2 linked regions of the Sus scrofa genome follow. The protein of the gene in region 2 purifies or fractionates together with the protein of the main gene of each other region. This does not show direct contact. Links are inferred from orthologs where the notes say so. Each region holds a gene or a part of one and is shown on either strand. Other genes may lie near its edges.

The links. The genes of interacting proteins can lie anywhere in the genome.
Region 1: the proteins of KCNQ1 (region 2) and AKAP9 purify together in Homo sapiens (affinity purification with western blotting; 3 studies listed by BioGRID and IntAct, with this or other methods). This does not show direct contact. The link is inferred for Sus scrofa from reciprocal best matches to the Homo sapiens genes KCNQ1 and AKAP9.

Annotation. Positions count from the first base shown.
Region 1 is NC_010451.4:72,052,570-72,055,411, reverse strand, and holds the end of AKAP9 (A-kinase anchor protein 9), read right to left. Parts: intron 2,466-2,842; coding exon 2,326-2,465; coding exon of another isoform or gene 2,279-2,325; exon of another isoform or gene 1,061-2,278; coding exon 1,026-1,060; 3' UTR 514-1,025; downstream 1-513. UniProt on the Homo sapiens protein: Scaffolding protein that assembles several protein kinases and phosphatases on the centrosome and Golgi apparatus. Required to maintain the integrity of the Golgi apparatus. Required for microtubule nucleation at the cis-side of the Golgi apparatus.
Region 2 is NC_010444.4:1,673,779-1,678,144, forward strand, and holds the start of KCNQ1 (potassium voltage-gated channel subfamily KQT member 1), read left to right. Parts: upstream 1-1,544; 5' UTR 1,545-1,631; coding exon 1,632-2,011; intron 2,012-4,366. UniProt on the Homo sapiens protein: Pore-forming subunit of the voltage-gated potassium (Kv) channel involved in the regulation of cardiomyocyte excitability and important in normal development and functions of myocardium, inner ear, stomach and colon.

The sequences.
Region 1 (2,842 bases), on a different chromosome or scaffold from region 2:
ACCCTGCCCCTCTGCCATGTGAGGACAGAGCAGGAAGACGGCAGTTAGGAAGTCAGAAAGCAGGCTCTCTCCAGACATCAAATTTGCTGTGTTTTGATTTTGGATTTCCCTAGCCTCCAAAACAGTGAGAAATCTCTGCTGTTTTTGTAAGCCACCCGGGCTATGGTATTTTGTTATGGTGACCTGAACAGACTAATAAGACATGCACCATGAACTGTGGCTTAAAAATGAAGGTTCAGGAGTTTCCATTATGGCACACTGGAAACAAACCTGACTAGTATCCATGAGGATGTGGGATTGATCCTTGACCTTGTTCAGTGGGTTAAGGATCCAGCCGTTGCTATGAGCTGTGGTGTAGGTGGCAGACGCAGCTCAGATCTGGTGTTGCTGTGGCTGTGGTGCAGGCCAGCAGCTGTAGCTCTGATTCAGCCCCTAGCCTGGGAACTTACATATGCTGTGGGTGTGGCCCTAAAAACCAAAAAAATGAAAACAAAAAAAGGTTCAAATACAGTGTAGTTAAAATGGTGAAGTCATTTTTATTTCAGTACTTGACAAAATACCCCATAAAATCCAAAACTTCTACCATTATACAAAAATAGGTCTCTACAAGTGATATTATCTGTCTTTATCACCAGTAGCAAATATATTAGGCAGTAACATGTAACTTCAGTAGCCTTATAAGAAAAGTGCAGGACACCTCGAGCTACACATTCAACAGTATCATAATGCGCAAAAGTTTAATCTTTTCACCCATTTGATAAATACACAAGGTTTATAATTTAATCATTTAAATTAGCATTCCACAAATATACATGTAATTTGATGATTATTGTGCATGAATACATACACAATGCTTATATGTACAGAATCCAGTTTGTTTTCATGTGCTGGCAAGGGATTTGTATACAATCATAAGCTGTGTTTGTATTGGTCCCGGTGAATATCCACAATACAAAAGCACAAAAGAACCATTGATTTACAAAAGGGAATTTGTTTAAAATCACTTTGATTCATGTTTCAAAGGATTATCTTCTCATGCCAGCATGAAACTGAGTTGAACCTGTAACATAGAAATAGGATACTTCAGTGATTTCAATGAGATTGTGACTTAAATCAGACTAACCAGTTCATAAAGGGCAGAAGAGGGACCTTGTGGCGCAATGGTAGCGCGTCTGACTCCATGAAGGGCAGAAGGAGGCACCATTTTTAAAAACTTTTTTCTGCCTAAAATAATCTTATTCAGAATTGAACTGATTTTTAAAAGAGACTCTTTTTTGTGTGTGTCTTTTTTTAGGGCATATGGAGATTCCTAGGCTAGGGGTGGAATCAGAGCTGTAGCAGCTGGCTTACACAATAGGAGACCTTGAACATATATTCAAAACTCACCGTGGCTGGCTCCAGGGCATGCTAAGTGAGATTAATGATAAGATTCTCTGTAAAGTGCCCTGCAGGTTGAATGTTCTATACCTCTTGCCTCTTGAAATACCTCTTGGTCTTAAAAATCTGGGTCTTGTGAAATATAAATGCTCAGGCCAACCAAGTCCTGCTATGATAATTGCTTCCTACAACTATAAGTTGCTTGGGTTAGACAATTTCTTATATGAAGAGGCAAACTACTAATTTAAAATAACTGGCTATTAGTCCTATCTATTTTGTGGGAATAGTAGGAAAAAAGGGTCTTTAATAAAAGGAAAATATACATATACACATACATACATATAAACTGACTTAAAGCTCATTAAATTAAAATGATTCAAGACCATTGAATCAGGAGTGAATTGAGAGACAGAGAAGAGAGGTTTTTTCCCACAATAAAAAGGGAAGGGATTCCACATTTACTAAGTACAAAAAAATTTTTGTGTGGTTTTCTTTCCCCCTCCCTTTTCCTGTTTTTTTTTGTTTTTAGCAGAGACAATAAAAGGTCATTCTTGCACAGTCCTTTGAATAGGATGGGTTTCTTGGATCACATATAAAAAGCACTTGCTTCCTCCTCTCATCTCCCCAGCTCTTATTTGGATGCCTCAGCATGTATCACTTGGCAGCAAATTCTCCAGCAGAAACTCTGTGTGTCTCAGAGTACTTTGTACATAGATGCTCATCATGTACTTCACCTAATCAATTGTCTTAATGAGATAAGCAGGAGAGTGGGATCCAGGGTGATAAATCAAGTTTTGGCTTAAATTCCTAAATCTAGCTTGGTAACTCATACTCAAGTTTAAGATTTGATTGTCCTAATGAGGAAGGTCAAGGAATTTCAAGAAAAGAAAGAGTTCTGGGTCTATCTAGCACCATGGTGCTGCCAGTACTTGGTTAAGCTGAGGGTACCTGACTGTACAGTTCCAAGCCGTCTCTGTAGCGCCTCTAGCCGAGTGATATAATCTGTCAGGGCTCTGTCAGGATCATAATTCTGAAGCTGAGAGCATGCTAAAGAACTGGGATTTAAATCAGCTGGAGTGCCTGGGTACCTATGAGATAAAAAATACGAACATGAATCCAAACTATCCAAAAACAATGCAAGCAATGTGCCAGTCGAGCTCCACCTTGCCTTCAAAAGGTAGACCACTGGTACTCTGCCTCATCTATATCCCTCATATGTCTGAGTTTGCCATGTATAAAGGAAAAAAACTCCTCAATAAATTCGAAGCAGATACTAAGTCATCAAAAGAATGTCCAGCACACTGCCTGTTGCCAAGGCCATCAATAAATGTTGCAAACATATAAATGCACCTTATGCAAACTTTAGAGTTTTTTTTCATAATTCTGGAAACTACCAATTTTAGTCAATGCCTTTCCCAATGTCTAATCACAGCATATATACCAATTAACACTTGATCAGCTCTGT
Region 2 (4,366 bases):
TCTACCTTCCTTCTTTCTCAAAGGCTCTCCAGCTGTTATGCCCGCCTACTAAACGTTCCTCTTCCTCCTGCGCCATGGGCTGCGGATGCACGAAACCACACCTGTGCGAGCCTTCGCTCGGAAGGCACTGACTGGACGCCCGCGAGAGCCCTGCCTGTCCCCGGGGCCCTGCGGGGGAAGGCTCTCCCCTTCTCCTGGCTCTCGGCCCATTTTGTATCCTAAGGGGTACACTTCCTGGCAAGGCTCCCTTGCCTCCGTGGCCTGAGTCTCTGCAGTGCCTGGCACGGTTTGGGACCCACTGCACTCATTCTTTCTGCAAGTACAAACTGCGTGGTTCTATGCAGGCACCACCCGAGGTGTGGGGAGTCAGGGCCGAAGGCAGGCCTGCCCTCGTCCAGCAAGAACTGACTTTCGGTGGGTGGGTGGGGTACATTAAATAAATCAGTCCAGAGTGCTTAGTCAGGACCCGTGACGTGTCCCCGAGGTTACAGGTCCCCATGTGGTGGGGTGGTTGTCCCCCTGCCCAGGACAATGTCCTGAGGGAAGCCGTTTTTTTCCTTCTGGACACCCATCCTCCACCCTGATGCCAGGCCCAGTGTAGGGTCCCAGGTGCCAGGGCATGAACTCCTTCTGACCCTAACCCCCACCTCTACACCACCCCCACCGGGCAAACCCAGGGGTGCAGTGGCAGCCCCGTCCGGAGGGCGAGGAGGGCAGAAATGCAGTCTCCAGCGCCTCTCCCCTGACCTGCCAGGGCAGCCTGCCTCCCGTGCCGCTGTCCAGACCCAGCGACTTCGGCTTCAGGAGTCCTGGAATCCTCCCCACGCACATGGCTCCCCCACCCCCCACCGGGCCATCCCTGTCTGACAATGGCCCCGTGTTGCCCACAGGTGCCCTATGGGCACCGACCTGACCACATTCTCCTCCCACGTCACCCGTGCTGGGACTATTGCTCAGGAACCCGGGAACTCAGGGGGCGCTCCAGGTGTCCGTGGGCCCCGGGGACAGGCAGGGCTCCAGCAGGCATGCCGTCAATACTTTCCGAGTGAAGGCACGCGCCTTCCTCCTGGCGCGCTCCTCCTTCCCCTTCACTGCTATTCTAGGCGAAGTGGCTCAGAGGGGGTCTGAGTGCCTAAGCCCCACCCCGCCCTCCTGCCCGGGCAGGTCTGGTGGCTGCACCTGCTGACCCAGCGCTTTCCTCCCTGGCTTCCCTGGGGGCTTCTTGCCGACCTAGCCGTCGGGTGGGCGTGAGGGGAGGTGCGGGCAAAATCTCGGGCCCAGAAGGGACGGAGCGAGGAGCGCAGAGGGGGCGGACGGAGCAGGTGGGCACGGTGGGTCAAGCAAGAGAGACGGGAATGCAAACAGGTGGGCGCGGACCACGCGGGAGGGGCCCATCGCGGGGCGGGGGCTGAGGCGCCAGGTGCGCAAAAGTGGGTCGGGGGCGGGGCGTCCGGCCCGGGGCGGGGCTCGCCGGCCCCCGGGACCCGCCCGCGGCCACCACCCCCTCGCGGCCCCGCCCCCCACGCCCTGGCTGGGCGGGCAGCGGCGGGCCTGGCAGCCCCGGCCGCCTGCACAGCACCCGCCACTCCTGGCGCTGCCGCCCGGCCGGCCCCCGCGGGCCCTGCCTGGCCATGGCCGCGGCCACCTCCCCTCCCAGGGCCGAGAGGAAGCGCTGGGGCGGGGGCCGCCTGCCAGGCGCCCGGCGGGGCAGTGCGGGCCTGGCCAAGAAGTGCCCCTTCTCATTGGAGCTGGCCGAGGGCGGCCCGACGGGCGGCGCGCTCTACGCACCTATCGGCCCTCCCGGAGTCCCGGGGCCCTCGTCCCCCGCCGCGCCCGCCGCGTCCCCCGCCGCCGCCGACCTTGGCCCGCGGCCCCGCGTAAGCCTCGACCCACGCGTCTCCATCTACAGCGCGCGCCGCCCGCTGCTCGCTCGCACTCACATCCAGGGCCGCGTCTACAACTTCCTCGAACGCCCCACCGGCTGGAAGTGCTTCGTCTACCACTTTGCTGTGTGAGTATCGCTGCCAGCCCACACGAGGTTGGGGGGGGGGACGCTTTCCAGGGGGCTGGGGAGGGCGTGGGGGAGCTCTGTCCTCATGCCACCTGCTGCCGCCTGGACCTTGTCGGAGCTGCGACCCAGAGCAGAGGGCAGGGAAGGGAACGGTTAATGGGAGAACCAGACCCGCGCAGAGCCTGTCGCTGAAGTTCAGGGACATGTGGGACTGACCCTGTGGGGTGAGAGGCTCCCGCTGGCGCTGCCCAGGCATGTGTGTGTTTGGGGGGGGGGGCGGCAGCTGGGGAAGAGGGCCCGAGCCCAAAGCGGCCCGCTCCTCTGCCGCCTCTCCCTGGAGGGGCCATCCAGGTGTTGATCCTGAGACAAGGCGGGTGCAGGGGTGAAGAGGGGCTCTGGGAGGAAGAGGGGGAGGCTCCCATGCTTCTGCAGGTGCAGCTACACTTCAGAGCCTCCCCTGGTGTCCAGGCAGCCCTGGGGGGGCTCCTGGGCGGGAGCAGGGCCGCCCCAGAGGGTGGCAGGCCATGTGGTGTTGCCTGACGCTTCAGCATGGCCCCGCGTTAATCCAGCCAGGCTCGTGAAAACCCGGATTGGAGCAGAGAGGCCTGGGGCCCTGATCCTCTCAGTGAGTCGGTGGAGAAAGCGGGGCCTTATCGGCAACACCTGGCCCCGCTGTTCCCCAGGTGGTTTGGATTCCTGCTCTGGGCGCCCGAGCGGGCAGGGCAGGGCGCGGCGCGCCGTTTCTCAGGGACGGGGCACGAGGGGCCCTCCCCGCCCCTCCTTGGTGTGGGGCCAGTCTCTGGCCCGTGAGCCTGGGCTTGGCCATCGTCTGGGGGCTGCAGGGGGTGACCTTCTGGCTTCCTGTTGGGGGTGGCAGGTGCTTGCCTCGGCTTCCTTGGCTGTCCTGTGGCTGGGCGAGACGCGGCTGGGGGGTGTCCAGGGCCCTCTTGCGTCCCACTGGTAGCTGCCACTGGCACCCAGGGGAGCAGAGGGAGCCAGGCCCCTGCTGGATTTGGAGCATCACCTTGCCAGGTGCGGCCAGGTGGGGCAGCTCGGCCTCAGTTCCTCGCGTCTGCTCCTCTGAGCGCAGGTGGCACTGGGATTGCTGCTTTCCACAGCAGGAGGGCAGGTCTTGGGGACAGTGTCCTCAAGCCTCCTCTCTACTCCTCAGCCCCAGCTCCCTGGGGATCAGAGGGTGCCTCCCTTGGCCGTAGCTGGTCTGTGGGAGAGGCGGCCTTGCCTGTAGCTGTCGCGGCGGTGGCCTGGCTTGAGGCTTGGGGGCTGTCTGTGTGTATATCCCAGCTGGGTTGTGCCGGCCCTGTGAGCACCCAGCCAACAGCAGCCACGTGGGCTGCTGCCTCCCAGCCTTCACCCGCTGGACCCTGAGCTCCCCGAGGTGCCCAGGGGTAGGAGGAATGCCCAGCTGATGCGTCCTGGAGCAGACCCTGCGCAGCCATCTCTCTGTCCTACAGTCGTGTATGCCAGCTCTGGGCACTGACGGGGAGGCATGGCAGGGAATGGCCGGGCAGGGCAGCAGTGCCTTCCCTTCCCCCACCCGGGAGGGCTCCAAGGCCTGGGCTGCAGACAGCCCCCGGGTCCGAGTCCTGAGATGCAGGCCTGAGGGTGCACATGGCCCGGGCTCCCTGGCCGCCAAGGTGCCTGGAGGAGGAAGAGGGCCCGTCACAGGCCAGAGGAAGTCCCTGCTCACACTCGTGTTTTCTTCCTGATTCTGATTGTTTAGCTCTCGGAAGTTTGCTCAGCAGAGGCAGCCTTGCCCAGCCGCCCCAGGAGCTGTAGGGCAGGGTGCCTTCTGGGGACAGTGGCTGAGCGGCTTCCCCTGGGGGCGCTGGGAGAGGGAGGCCCCTGCGGCTGGCTTGGTGACCTTGGGCCAGTCCTTTCCAGCTCTGGCCCCCGCCTGTAAGAGGTATGTCCCAGCGCCCCGTGCAGGGAGGGGCTGCAGGTGGACCCTGGCTAGGCGGGGGGCCTGGCTTCCCTGGGGCCCGGGAAGGTGCCCTGTCACCCCAGGTGTCTCCAGGAGGTCAGCCAGGCCCCAGACACTCTCCAGATTGGCCGGTGTCTCGAGGGGACCTGGCCTCAAGCTGGGATCTCAGGGGCAGCTGGGGCTGAGTGGAGCAGCTTGGAGAAAAGGGCTCACGGTGCCCGTCCGCGCCCTGGTGTTGCTCTGAGAAGCGTCTACGACAGTGGCACAGAAAGATAGTGGCACCTCTGTCCTTGGTGAGGCAGATGGCGAAACGTGAGGGGTGATCGTAACGAGCCAGGCCGAGCTGGGTTTCCGGCCTGGGAAGGACGAGCCCGGCCTTGAAGGGCTGGGCCCGGTGGCTGTGGGGCCACTGT